Arabidopsis thaliana: one gene and its partner. The protein of the gene in region 1 interacts with the protein of each later gene in a pairwise test. Each region holds a gene or a part of one and is shown in the gene's direction. Other genes may lie near its edges.

What was found. The genes of interacting proteins can lie anywhere in the genome.
Region 2: the proteins of AT3G05350 (region 1) and GONST1 interact in a protein complementation assay, tested with the Arabidopsis thaliana proteins (one large-scale study listed by BioGRID).

What each region holds. Positions count from the first base shown.
Region 1 is NC_003074.8:1,527,903-1,535,495, reverse strand, and holds the start of AT3G05350 (Metallopeptidase M24 family protein), read left to right. Parts: upstream 1-1,586; 5' UTR 1,587-1,652; coding exon 1,653-1,979; intron 1,980-2,134; exon of another isoform or gene 2,135-2,235; coding exon of another isoform or gene 2,236-4,596; exon of another isoform or gene 4,597-4,828; intron 4,829-5,239; coding exon 5,240-5,365; intron 5,366-5,467; coding exon 5,468-5,587; intron 5,588-5,690; coding exon 5,691-5,966; intron 5,967-6,085; coding exon 6,086-6,258; intron 6,259-6,331; coding exon 6,332-6,586; intron 6,587-6,816; coding exon 6,817-6,968; intron 6,969-7,071; coding exon 7,072-7,262; intron 7,263-7,373; coding exon 7,374-7,482; intron 7,483-7,570; coding exon 7,571-7,593. Other genes in the region: AT3G05365 (uncharacterized protein), read left to right, coding at 404-510, 789-928, 1,026-1,120; RLP30 (receptor like protein 30), read left to right, coding at 2,236-4,596. UniProt on the Arabidopsis thaliana protein: Catalyzes the removal of a penultimate prolyl residue from the N-termini of peptides, such as Arg-Pro-Pro.
Region 2 is NC_003071.7:5,686,774-5,692,664, reverse strand, and holds GONST1 (golgi nucleotide sugar transporter 1), read left to right. Parts: upstream 1-1,893; 5' UTR 1,894-2,134; intron 2,135-2,347; 5' UTR 2,348-2,361; coding exon 2,362-2,711; exon of another isoform or gene 2,712-2,955; coding exon of another isoform or gene 2,956-3,038; coding exon 3,039-3,168; intron 3,169-3,675; coding exon 3,676-3,774; intron 3,775-4,322; coding exon 4,323-4,477; intron 4,478-4,559; coding exon 4,560-4,676; coding exon of another isoform or gene 4,677-4,680; exon of another isoform or gene 4,681-4,829; coding exon 4,830-4,927; intron 4,928-5,028; coding exon 5,029-5,081; 3' UTR 5,082-5,349; downstream 5,350-5,891. Other genes in the region: AT2G13660 (uncharacterized protein), read left to right, coding at 48-373; AT2G13640 (Transcription factor IIS family protein), read left to right, coding at 5,375-5,891. UniProt on the Arabidopsis thaliana protein: Involved in the import of GDP-mannose from the cytoplasm into the Golgi lumen. Required for the luminal synthesis of a variety of plant cell surface components. Is required for the correct mannosylation of the glycosylinositol phosphoceramides (GIPC).

The sequences.
Region 1 (7,593 bases):
AAAAGAAGAGGAGGAGGATAGGAGCTATATGTCTACTATTTTTATTTTTTTAGCCAATGAGAGAGCTCCACTTCATACCCCACTTTTACCAATCGAGCGATTTCACAACCAGTCTCACCCATGTCGCGTTGAGCGCGTGTCTACGATTTCTAAAGGGGTTTGTCCACAGAAATCATGCCTTTTTTGATCCACGCAACTCACTCTCAAAAATCCATCGCGTGTCTTATTTTTTTTGGTTTTCTTCTCTAAACCAAATTAAACCGAACCGAGATCAATTTGAATTTCAAAACCAATGTAAACCCATCAAACCCATCGCTGTGAAAACAAAAAGCTCGGCCACTGTAACAACAAAAATGGAGACGACACAACTTGGAAGAGAAATCAACTCTAAATAGCCAAGAGAATGTTCGAAAACCCCCTCAAATCCGATGCTTCCTTTGATTCCAACCTCCAAAAGCCCATCTGCTCAAATCTTCATTTCGAGGATGAGGACTCGAGGAGTATTACAAGGTACCTCAATAGAATCAATGGCTTCCATGGATTTTGAAACTTTACTTCTAATAAACACCATTGTAATGTCTTGTTGTGAAGTTGTGTAAGGAACAAAGGATAGTGAAAGCTGAAGAGTGGGATTCGTTTATGGAGTTTCAGAGTTTTTTTTGACTAAGTGGCCTCTGTTTTTGATTCTTCAGTGGTCAATTTTGTGATGGGATTTGATTGAAATTGGAGAATGATTTCATGAAATCTCTTCGGGCTGAGGTTGATTCATGACTCTTTCATTTTTCTAGTGTCTCATTGATGATAGACATAAGAAGCATACTTAAGGCCATAGAGAGTGGTGAATTGGAGGCAATCAAGCCTTTGCCTTGGTACCCTAAGAATCTTTCTTTTCACGGAAGGAGATTAGAAAAAACCAGATACTTGAGAGGTACATTTTCATGCCAGTTGCTTCAGAACAAGTATTCACTTCCATTCCCTTACTTGTGTTAGTTCAGCGCTTGAGAAATATTATGATCTTGTTTCAGACTTTCAGCTGTCAAGAGACAAGGCCCGTTTTACTATCAGGTTAAAATCATGGTCAGCTTCTTGTCCCAAACCACATTGTTGCAAGGTTTTGTAATAAATCTTGGCTCGATAATGCATTCAGAAACTTCTTCTACTCATATCTCAAAATATGTTTTGAATTCTAAACCCCATGGTTATCAATATAAAGAATATTAGTATCTATTTTTCTCTTTTCTGGTGTGGTTGCAATTTATCGTTTGTCTCTTTCGTGGAAACCCTTAATTCAGGCGGTATTAAGTCTTTCTCATAAAACTTTCTAAGTCAAACCAAAATTCCAATCGAAATTCTCAGCATGAAAGTCTCGAACACGTTTACATTTCTTACGCACCCAAAGACTCTTGCTTCTTGCACACGTCTCTCTTGGCTGTCCTTTACCATAACGAATTTGATGAGATTGTTTCAAAATAAAATGTTTCTTTTTGACAAGTCTGGGATTTTAATGTAATTATCAATAGTCATGCACATTATACAACATTTAAAAGAATACGGGGGTTGTTTTGCAATTTTCAGTAGTTATACACATTTATCCGTAATCACTCTGCTCAAGAAGCTTCTCCTCTTGTGTGATTCTCCTGCAATCGCTGGTGATGATTCCTCTAACTCTTTCGTCGCCGTCTCTGAATCGGCTCGTTTTATCCACATCACGTTACTCACACTCTCTATTTCTCAGCAATTTCAATTCGCTCTCTCTGATCCACCGGAAATTACCGTATAAACCTCTTTTTGGCGCAAGGTGTCATGCTAGTAGCAGCAGCAGCAGCTCTTCCTCCTTCACGGCAAAGTCTTCCAAAGAGATTCGTAAAGCTCAAACCAAAGTAGTTGTCGACGAGAAGCTTAGCTCGATCCGGCGACTGTTTTCGGAGCCGGGTGTTGGAATCGACGCTTATATCATACCTTCACAAGATGCACATCAGGTTCTCTTTTTTTAAACCTCTTCTTAACTCGTGATTACGAATTGAATAGGAAGTTCTAGTAGATTCAAAACTGTTCAATTGTGTGTGTTTTTAAGTCAATTATTGGTCCAAGTGGGCAAGTTTGACTATAGAAAGGAGTAGGTAGAAGTCTACTAGAGAGCTGCAAATTTGTGTTTTGTTTTCTATTTTTCTCTCTCTCTAAATAGAGACGTAGAAGCCATAGCTATCATAACCTGTTACTTACAAAACAAACAAAATGATTCCAAGCCAATCTAATTCCTTTTCTGGTAGTGTTATTACCTTGTATTTCTTCCTCCTGGGTTCCCTTGTTCTACGCACTCTTGCTTCTTCTAGGCTTCACTATTGCCGCCATGACCAAAGGGATGCTCTTCTCGAGTTCAAACACGAGTTTCCGGTAAGTGAATCGAAGCCAAGTCCATCGTTGAGTTCATGGAACAAGACTAGTGATTGCTGTTTTTGGGAGGGTGTCACGTGCGATGATGAATCTGGCGAGGTGGTTTCACTTGACCTTAGTTATGTCCTTCTCAACAACTCTTTGAAACCAACTAGTGGTCTTTTCAAACTCCAACAACTCCAGAACCTGACTCTCAGTGATTGCCATCTCTATGGAGAGGTTACTTCTTCACTAGGAAACCTTTCTCGTCTCACGCATCTTGACCTTTCGAGTAATCAGCTGACAGGTGAAGTTCTGGCTTCGGTCAGTAAGCTAAACCAACTTAGAGACCTTTTACTTTCCGAAAACAGTTTTAGTGGTAACATTCCTACTTCATTTACCAATTTAACGAAGCTTTCTAGTTTAGACATCTCTAGCAATCAGTTCACATTGGAAAATTTCTCTTTCATACTACCAAATTTAACCAGCTTGTCCTCCTTAAACGTTGCCTCTAATCACTTTAAATCCACGCTTCCATCTGATATGAGTGGACTCCACAACTTGAAATATTTTGATGTGCGTGAGAATTCATTTGTCGGGACTTTTCCTACATCCTTATTCACGATTCCTTCGTTACAAATTGTTTATTTGGAAGGAAACCAGTTCATGGGACCTATAAAGTTTGGGAATATATCTTCATCTTCTAGGCTTTGGGATCTAAACCTTGCTGATAACAAATTCGATGGGCCAATCCCTGAATATATATCTGAAATTCACAGTCTCATAGTACTAGATCTTAGCCACAACAACTTAGTTGGGCCAATCCCCACTTCTATATCAAAGTTGGTCAACCTTCAGCATCTTAGTCTTTCAAACAATACCTTGGAAGGCGAAGTGCCAGGTTGCTTATGGGGATTGATGACAGTGACACTTTCCCACAATTCTTTCAACAGTTTTGGAAAGTCATCATCCGGAGCTTTGGATGGAGAATCAATGCAGGAGTTGGATCTTGGTTCGAATTCACTTGGAGGACCTTTTCCCCATTGGATCTGCAAGCAAAGGTTCTTAAAGTACTTAGACTTGTCCAACAATCTCTTCAACGGCTCAATTCCTCCTTGTTTGAAAAATTCCACTTATTGGCTTAAAGGGCTAGTTCTGCGTAACAACAGCTTCAGCGGATTTCTCCCAGACGTATTTGTCAATGCTAGCATGTTATTATCACTTGACGTTAGCTACAACCGGTTGGAGGGAAAACTTCCAAAATCCCTGATCAATTGCACTGGTATGGAACTTCTGAATGTGGGAAGCAACATAATCAAGGACACTTTTCCATCCTGGTTGGTTTCTTTGCCATCATTACGTGTCCTCATCCTCAGATCTAATGCATTCTATGGGTCGTTATATTATGACCACATATCTTTTGGGTTTCAACATTTGAGACTCATTGATATATCACAGAATGGCTTCAGTGGAACTTTGTCACCTTTATATTTCTCCAATTGGCGTGAGATGGTGACATCTGTCTTAGAAGAAAACGGCTCTAATATAGGTACAGAGGATTGGTACATGGGCGAGAAAGGGCCCGAGTTCAGCCATAGTAATTCGATGACTATGATATATAAAGGAGTAGAAACGGACTTCTTGCGGATCCCATATTTCTTCAGAGCCATTGACTTTTCTGGAAACAGATTTTTTGGGAATATACCTGAATCCGTTGGTTTGTTGAAGGAATTGCGTCTTCTCAATTTGTCAGGTAACTCATTCACAAGCAATATCCCTCAGTCATTGGCAAATTTGACAAATCTTGAGACATTGGACCTATCCCGGAATCAGCTATCAGGTCACATCCCTCGAGATCTTGGTAGCCTCTCTTTTCTGTCGACCATGAATTTCTCCCATAACCTTCTCGAAGGTCCAGTTCCACTAGGCACTCAGTTTCAAAGCCAACATTGTTCTACATTCATGGACAACCTCAGACTCTACGGTCTTGAGAAAATCTGTGGAAAAGCTCATGCCCCGAGTTCTACACCACTAGAATCCGAGGAATTTTCGGAACCAGAAGAACAAGTGATTAACTGGATAGCAGCGGCAATAGCCTACGGACCTGGTGTGTTTTGTGGATTAGTTATTGGACATATCTTCTTTACTGCACACAAACACGAGTGGTTCATGGAAAAATTCCATCGAAACAAGCGCAGAGTAGTCACCACAAGTGCTCGTTGAACACCATCACCTCTCACAATTTCTCTGAGTGATTGTGAAACGTATATGTTTGTTATGATATCTGTCAGTTGTGTTATGCATAAACTCTTTGTCTTTGTAATTTTCTACTTTATGGTATTGTAAGAAACGGCTTTGGTGGTATCTGATCTTCTATATGTTGGGTTGAAAATGCATTCAGATTTTTCTTCCTAGTCAAATCTCAACTTGTCATAAGAGGATGTTTCAATTGTAGAGCCAAATGGAAGTTCTTCTTCTTCTAAATCACAGTATGAAATTCTCCAACTCGTGTTTTATTTCATTCTCCCCAAAGTTTCTTGCTCCGCTCACACGTCAATCTTGCTGTCCCTGAGTATACCAAATTCGATTTGGAGATTCAAGATAAAAAATAAATATGATTTGGACCAGTGCGGGGGTTGTTATGCATCTATGCAATTGTTTTTGCCATTTTGATATGGGTAATGTGTTGTTTCGGTGAATTTTACATACTAGGAGCTTAAGATCTACTTTCATAACTGATGTTGCCTGTAATATATTTCTGTGCCATTAGGAAAGTCACAAATTTATGTTTTACTTCTAAATGTATCCATAAACTGCCTGAGTTTTTCATGGCTTGAGTGTGATTTTTCTCCATATTTTGTACTAGAGCGAGTTCATCGCAGAGTGCTATGCCAGGAGGGCTTATATATCAGGATTTACTGGAAGTGCTGGTACCGCTGTTGTCACCAAGGATAAGGCAGCTCTATGGACAGATGGCCGCTATTTTCTTCAGGTTTTGATCATTATCGTCCTTTAAAATTATTTGATTGCCATCTCATATTGAAAGGAAATGTGGAGTTTCTTATCTACATTCTCTGCAATTATTCTATCAAAGGCGGAGAAGCAATTAAACTCTAGTTGGATTCTCATGCGGGCTGGTAATCCGGGAGTCCCCACGGCGAGTGAATGGATAGCTGATGTTTTGGCGCCTGGTGGAAGAGTTGGTATTGACCCTGTAAGCTATTATTAAACCTTCTAAATTGTGTCTCCTTTTGTCCTTAAATATTGTAGTTTGTGGTTTGTTATTTACAAGACTTTGGAATTCATGAAGGGAGCAGTTCCTTTTTTCCGCCGATGCTGCTGAGGAATTGAAGGAGGTTATAGCAAAGAAGAATCATGAGTTGGTTTACTTGTACAATGTAAATCTTGTGGATGAGATATGGAAGGACTCAAGGCCAAAGCCTCCAAGCAGACAAATAAGGATACATGACTTGAAGTATGCTGGTTTAGATGTGGCCTCGAAATTGTTGTCTTTGAGGAACCAAATTATGGATGCTGGCACATCTGCCATTGTAATATCCATGCTTGATGAGATTGCATGGGTGCTTAATCTGGTAATACTCTAGCATAGCATCTTACATTTGAATCTGTTAGTTTTGTGCCACTGATATCAGCTTATCCTTCACATAGGTCCCAATGTATTGATGTTGTATTCTGCCTCTTCTGACTGCAGAGAGGGAGCGATGTTCCACATTCACCTGTAATGTACGCATATCTGATTGTAGAGGTTGACCAAGCCCAACTTTTTGTAGATAATTCTAAAGTAACGGTGGAGGTGAAAGATCATTTGAAAAACGCAGGGATCGAACTTAGACCTTACGATTCCATTCTTCAAGGAATAGATAGGTAAGTACTTGATTGTCCATGTCCATTTATGAACTTCAGAAAAAGGAATTTCCCTCACTTTGAGTTTTCTCAGTTTGGCAGCACGAGGAGCTCAGCTCTTGATGGATCCATCAACCCTCAACGTAGCTATCATTAGTACCTACAAATCTGCCTGTGAAAGATATTCGAGGAATTTTGAAAGCGAAGCCAAAGTTAAGACAAAGTTTACTGATAGCTCCAGCGGATATACTGCCAATCCTTCTGGTATTTACATGCAATCTCCTATTTCGTGGGCAAAGGCCATTAAAAATGATGCTGAGCTAAAGGGAATGAAGAATTCTCACTTGAGGTAAAGAAAGCCATTGCTTTTACGATATTTTCCTAATCCAACTGCCTTTATAGGATTCAACTTTTCTCTGGAAGATTTTGGTTTCTTTTGTACTTTCAAATGCTAAGTATCTTAGGCTGACCAAATATATATGGAGAAATGCTGCTGCTCTAGCTCATTTCTGGAAAATTTTGGTTTCTTTTTTTCCTATGTATGGGAAATGTCTTTGGCTGACCACTTATTTTATGCAGAGATGCTGCTGCCCTAGCTCATTTCTGGGCTTGGCTGGAAGAAGAAGTGCATAAGAATGCGAATCTAACAGAGGTCGATGTGGCTGACAGGCTTCTTGAATTCCGTTCAATGCAAGATGGTTTTATGGATACAAGCTTTGATACAATAAGTGGTATGGTTATTGTCACCCTTGTTGGTGGAACTTGCTTCTTAACACATAGTCAATATACAGCCAGTGAGTGATATGTATTCCTTTCCTCTAATTACCCATGCAGGTTCCGGTGCAAATGGTGCTATTATACATTATAAGCCCGAGCCTGAGAGCTGCAGTCGTGTAGACCCTCAAAAACTTTTTTTGCTGGATAGTGGCGCTCAATATGTTGATGGAACAACAGACATCACCAGAACAGTACATTTTAGTGAACCTTCTGCCCGTGAAAAGGAATGTTTCACTCGAGTCTTGCAGGTGGAATATTTGGCTCTTCTTTTCCTCATCATTTTTGATGACCATTGACTACCTATATTGAACAGACGAACCTGTATGGGTTGCCTTGTCTGATTGGTATTTTGGTTGTAGGGTCATATAGCTCTTGATCAAGCCGTGTTCCCAGAAGGTACTCCTGGTTTTGTATTGGATGGGTTTGCACGCTCTTCTCTATGGAAAATTGGACTTGATTACCGCCATGGTACTCTATTCTATCTTTTGACTCTTCTTCCCAGAACAACTTTTTTGTAAGGAACTCATATTACTCTGATATTTTGCCTGCCAAACAGGGACAGGACACGGCGTAGGTGCT
Region 2 (5,891 bases), on another chromosome or scaffold:
TCACGAGAATTTGTAACCTCAGCCGATTAGCCCGAAATATTCATCAGAACAAGACGAAGACTCCAATTCTTCATACTCCGTCCCAATCAACCGCATCAACTTGATCAATCCACCAAGGAGAACCGATGCTCTAAACAAGCCCTTTTGGCGGAGCAAGGAATTACCTTCACTTGGGAGAAGAATCAAGCACTCAATGAACAAGGATCCATTTGATGACTTCTGGAATTTTCATCTTCCCGAAATTGGAAGAGTTAATTTGAGCCTGCAAAAGGCAACCAAAAGAGAAAGAAAGAAAGTAAATCCGAACAAGTCGGAAAGAGAAACCGGCATCAAAACAGGAAATCTAAAACACAAACCAAAAAGCTCTGATTGAAGACGGAGATTACAAAAGAAAAACAGAGCTCCCTCTCTGTAAAAGATATGAAAGAGAGAAGAGATAGAAAACTCTTTTCATTAAATGTTATAATACGAAAATGATATTCAACTATTTGTTCTCAAGAACAAGATGAGTGTCGTTAACATTAGAGTGTGAATATATTTTTGTTATAAAAATTGTCATGCGTTACGGAAAAAACAAAATGGTCATGCGTTTGGCTACACTGGTTCTTTTGGGCCTAAAGGATTTTATTTTACGTGCTCGAGTAACTTGGGCTATGGCTAGTGGATTTAGAAGTGGACTGTGTCAAAGAGTCAAAATAGATAGGCTAAAATTTCTGGTGGAAAGAATTAAGCCGAAAGGTCAACGGTATGGTACAAAGCAAAAAGGCAAATGGACCATTATTGCCAAACTTTTATTTTTATTCATTCAGATTTTGTGTCAAATTGCCAAGTTTAGAGACACATAACAGTAGTACACTTTTGCACTGACTATCAATTTAAATACGAATTCTCACTGATTAAACTAATTAAGACGCATCATTATAAATTTCTTAAATCATAAACACTAGAATCCAAAATCGATTTTCATTTTTCCCTCTTTTCTTTTTTGAATTCTTTCCTTTTTTTGATTCCTTCTTCTTCTTTAAATTCAAAATAATCTCTTATCTCTATGTCGATTGATGGTGCGAAAGAGAAAAAATTGTGCCTCAATTTGCTTAATTAACGAAAATTCGTGATTAAATTGAAAATCAACATAAAAATTGAGAATTTAAATTACCAGATACAGAACTCATAGTTTAAATCAACAAAAATAGTAAACTACTGATTTAAATGACATTTTTCCAAAAAAGCAAATTGTACAACATATTGTGTGATTTGGACCATATGGTACCAAACCATTATAACTAAATTAGATAATTTATGTTTATATTATTATTTCTTCTCAATATATAAGAGATTTATATAATAACCAATAACTATAAAATGATGAAAATTAACAAAATAACATCATAAGCTCAATACCTTAGGAGAGAACATATTTAACGTGTAACTGTCAAAGTTACTCCAAACAAAGTTTGTGTTCTTTTTTTATAAATAACAATGTTTGTGTTGAATGACCTCAATGAAGAGATTTGTTTGATAGTATTAAATAGCTAATATTTTCTTAAATTTTAGTATAGTTATGACATATTTGTATATGGCCTATTTGTATATGATCAGTATTATTCTGTTTTATTGTCTTAAAAATGATCAATATTATTCTGTATTTATAGATAAAAGGCTATTTTTCGCTTTGGAATAATTTTTAATTTCAAGAAATACATACTAGTTTTATTTATTCATTTAGACATGTTTGACATGAGTAGTTGATGAGTTTGTCAATTTTGAAATACCCACTGAGAAAATTTATTTTGTTTTACATAATGGAACTTCCTCTAACTTACGAAACTCTTAATTTTAATATAAATAAACAAACGAAAGAAACGAAAATTGGTCAGTTTTTTTTTTTTTTTTCTCTTCTGGTCAATGCCATCTCTCTCCCTCGTCTTTTCAGTTTCCTAATTTCCATTGTTTCTTCAAAACAACATTTCACAGATAGCTCCACCACGACCTGACGAAGATCCTCCGCGTGAGCAAGTTTCATGTTCTTCTTCTTCTTCCGATTCATAGTTTTTTTTTTTTCCGGTAACTTGTCATCAATTAGATCTCGTCCGAAGTTGAATCTTTAGTTCGCGAGCTTTTGGACAACTTCGAGGTAAAATTCGTTATTCTCTACACAACTTCCGATTAACGCTTGTGTAGCTACTCTCAACTTTGCTGCTTGATCCAATCTCGTCTTAAGTTGATTTTAGCTGCGAATTGGAACCGAATTGGTTTTTATGTAAAACTGTTACTTTTTTTGTGCGTGTATTGTTAAGAATGATGGATCTAGTTATATAAGCTTGAAAGAAGTTAGTTTCTTTGGTAGGTCTTAGCTTTGCAATGAAATTGTACGAACACGATGGAGTTGATTTAGAAGATGGGAAGACAGTAAAATCCGGAGGAGATAAACCAATTCCAAGAAAGATACATAACCGGGCTTTGTTATCCGGTTTAGCTTATTGCATTTCATCATGCAGTATGATACTTGTCAACAAGTTTGTTCTCTCCAGCTACAACTTCAATGCTGGGATCTTCCTTATGTTATACCAGAACTTTGTCTCGGTGATCATTGTGGTTGGTTTGAGTTTAATGGGTCTAATAACTACTGAACCACTTACTTTGAGGTTGATGAAGGTCTGGTTTCCAGTGAATGTCATCTTTGTTGGTATGCTTATCACAAGCATGTTTAGGTAAGAATGTGTTTCTACACCTTTATTTTGTGTTGGTTTGTTGAATTATATATCGATGCTCTCTTAATTCTCAAGCCTATAAGATTACTAAATTAGTAAAGTCAACTTTTTGGAGTACTAAAGGTAGTTATAAGAATCTGTACATCATCTTTACAGCAGATCGAGGATTAAATAACGTGTAGACACTTAGGTGAAACAGATAGATATTTTGGATTTACTTCACAGTAGGTCGAGATATATAGATATGTATCGTATATGTGTATGTAGGCGGTGTTTGAAGAGCAGATTGAACTTGATTGTCTATTTGAATTACATTTTCTTTGACAGTTTGAAATACATCAATGTAGCAATGGTCACTGTCCTGAAGAATGTCACTAATGTGATAACTGCAGTTGGTGAGATGTATCTGTTCAACAAGCAACATGACAACAGAGTGTGGGCTGCTCTCTTCTTAATGGTATGTTTGTCTGCTTTAAAAGTATTTCTAACTGATTCTGTAAATTGTACCTGAGAAAAAACTATTCTCAAGGAACCTATTTCAAGCTGCACATAGATAGCATTTTGATTGGAGTTTTTGAAAGATATCCTTGTCAAACAACGATTCTATACTGTTTTGGATTTGGTTTTCTCTTGTTTTCTCAAAGCACTCTCTGATCATCAACCTTAACCAATAAAGTCTAAAGCATATCTTCTTATTGATAAGTGATCCACCCTTTTGTGTGCGTACACAGTTACACTTGTCGTAGCGGCTTTCAGTGGTGTGGCATAGCCTAACCTTTCAATACTGTTGGAGATACATGTTTTTAACTGCTTCCACAATTAGTCTGCCAGGGAAATGTAATCATGTTTTTTTGTCACGGCTACTCATTGTTATATGTATATTCTATTTGTTTTTGTATAGATCTTGAATAAGTAGAGGATAAAGTTTTGATTAACCTGTGCTTCTTTCGTCCTTCATTTGCAGATAATTTCCGCAGTTTCTGGAGGAATAACAGACCTATCATTCAATGCTGTTGGCTATGCTTGGCAGATTGCTAATTGCTTCTTAACTGCATCGTACTCGGTGAGTAAACATTTGATCATTTGTGTTTTCTTTTCCCAAAATGTTAGGAGTCATTTGAAACAATAAACACATATATGAAAAGGAGATCACTTAAAAACCATGCTTTCATGTCGAGTATTACATGCTGTTTGGTTAAGACTAAGTCAATAAACTAAACAGCCTTCCCTATAATCATTACGATACTGGCTTGCTTTTGAGTTTTAAGATGCTCACGAGATACCGAGATTCTGTTACCTTAGAAAATTTTATAGCTTGCAATCCATTGTCACTGGTAACCTGAGTACTTCACTCGTTGTTAGAAGTAGGAATAGCATGTTAAAGAGAAGACTTTGGGCAAAGAATGCAAATTGACACCATCAACTTCTCAGTTCTCACTAGGTTTTCCATTGCTGGGTCAAAAAACGAGAGTGTTAGACTGTTAGGTTCCCATAAATTTATCCCTATATCCTGTCAACAAAAACCAAGTGTTTGGCTTGTTAGCTAGGCTACTATACTCTTATAAAATTTGCCACCACTTTTGACTTGCCTTATATTTTGTTGTTTTGCAGCTGACTTTGAGAAAGACCATGGATACGGCCAAGCAGGTTACTCAATCTGGAAACTTGAACGAGTTCTCCATGGTCTTGCTTAATAACACACTTTCATTACCACTTGGGCTTCTTCTTTCTTATTTCTTCAACGAGATGGATTATCTCTATCAAACGTGAGTTCCTGTCCTTATTTCTGTGTCAATGGAAAATGGTTTGTGTCATCTGAAAACAAAATGGTGTATTATATTTGTGCAGGCCACTTCTACGATTACCAAGTTTCTGGATGGTCATGACACTTAGTGGACTTCTAGGGCTTGCCATTAGCTTTACTTCAATGTGGTTTCTTCATCAAACTGGAGCAACAACATACAGGTAGCAAATTAGAGAGAGATAGAGCAATTTCAAAACTTTGCTTAAGAGAGTGTTGCTGTCCCCTAGCCTTCTCCATATATCCCTTTCCTATGTTTGCTTCTTTGTTGGTTCAGTCCTAACTAGATACATCTTTCGCTTTATTCAAAATCATAGCCTGGTGGGATCTCTAAACAAGATACCTCTATCCATCGCGGGGATCGTTCTTTTCAATGTACCGACCAGTTTGCAGAACTCAGCAAGCATACTCTTTGGTAAGCGTTCTCTCGATCAGTTCCCTTTTCCAACTTCTTGAAGGAACACATATCGCTTGTGTTGTGTATTATTATTAAACCTGAGGTGGCCTAATTTGCAGGTCTTGTCGCTGGAGTTGTATTTGCTAGAGCCAAAATGAGGGAGAAGTCCTAAAATACTAACCATCTACAACACATTTTACTACATCAATCAGTATAGGACATGGCAAAAGCTGATTAAAGCAGAGCAATGAGTTTATAACCTCAGAATTCTATGCACGTTATGTGTTTCTTGTAAAAGCTTTCGCCACTCTACTTGTATAATGTTAGTAAAATATTAATGAATGTATCGATTCTTGAGTGGTAAGAGAAGTGTTGGTTTATGTGTTTCTTCGTTTTTACCAATTTTCCAGTAAAGAAATTCAATGGTATGAGATTTCAACATAAACTGAAAACCCTAGCCACCTGATGATCAAGAACGACGGAAAGATGATGAGAGTGAGAATTGCGAAGGAGAGATCTGACTTATGCGACTTGACTGCTGCTGCAATTAAGGCTACTTACAATACACGGAACCCATGCGAAGTCGAGCGATGCATCGATGTGTTGAATCACTTGAAGTCTCTGTCTCTTTCCGTGAAGGATATACGATTGTCTGAATCAATAGTTAAACTGGAGACTTTGAGAAGTCATAGGAACCCTAGAATCCGTAAGGAAGCCCAAGCCTTGTTTCATTCATGGTTGAAGACATTCTACGCACATGGAAGCGACAACTCTTTCACAGCTGCTCTTACCAAAGATCGTCTGAAGATGAAGAAGCATGTTCTAAAAATGTGTTCGGAGTTGAAGAAGAAAGAAGAACCGGGAACTATGGCTCGTCAAGTCACTGCCTTTTCGGTGTTGAAGAATAAAGAAGACGAGAGATCTCAGACGACTGTTGAAGCAGTAGAGAGTAAGACAACGATCAAACTCTCGGAGTTGAATA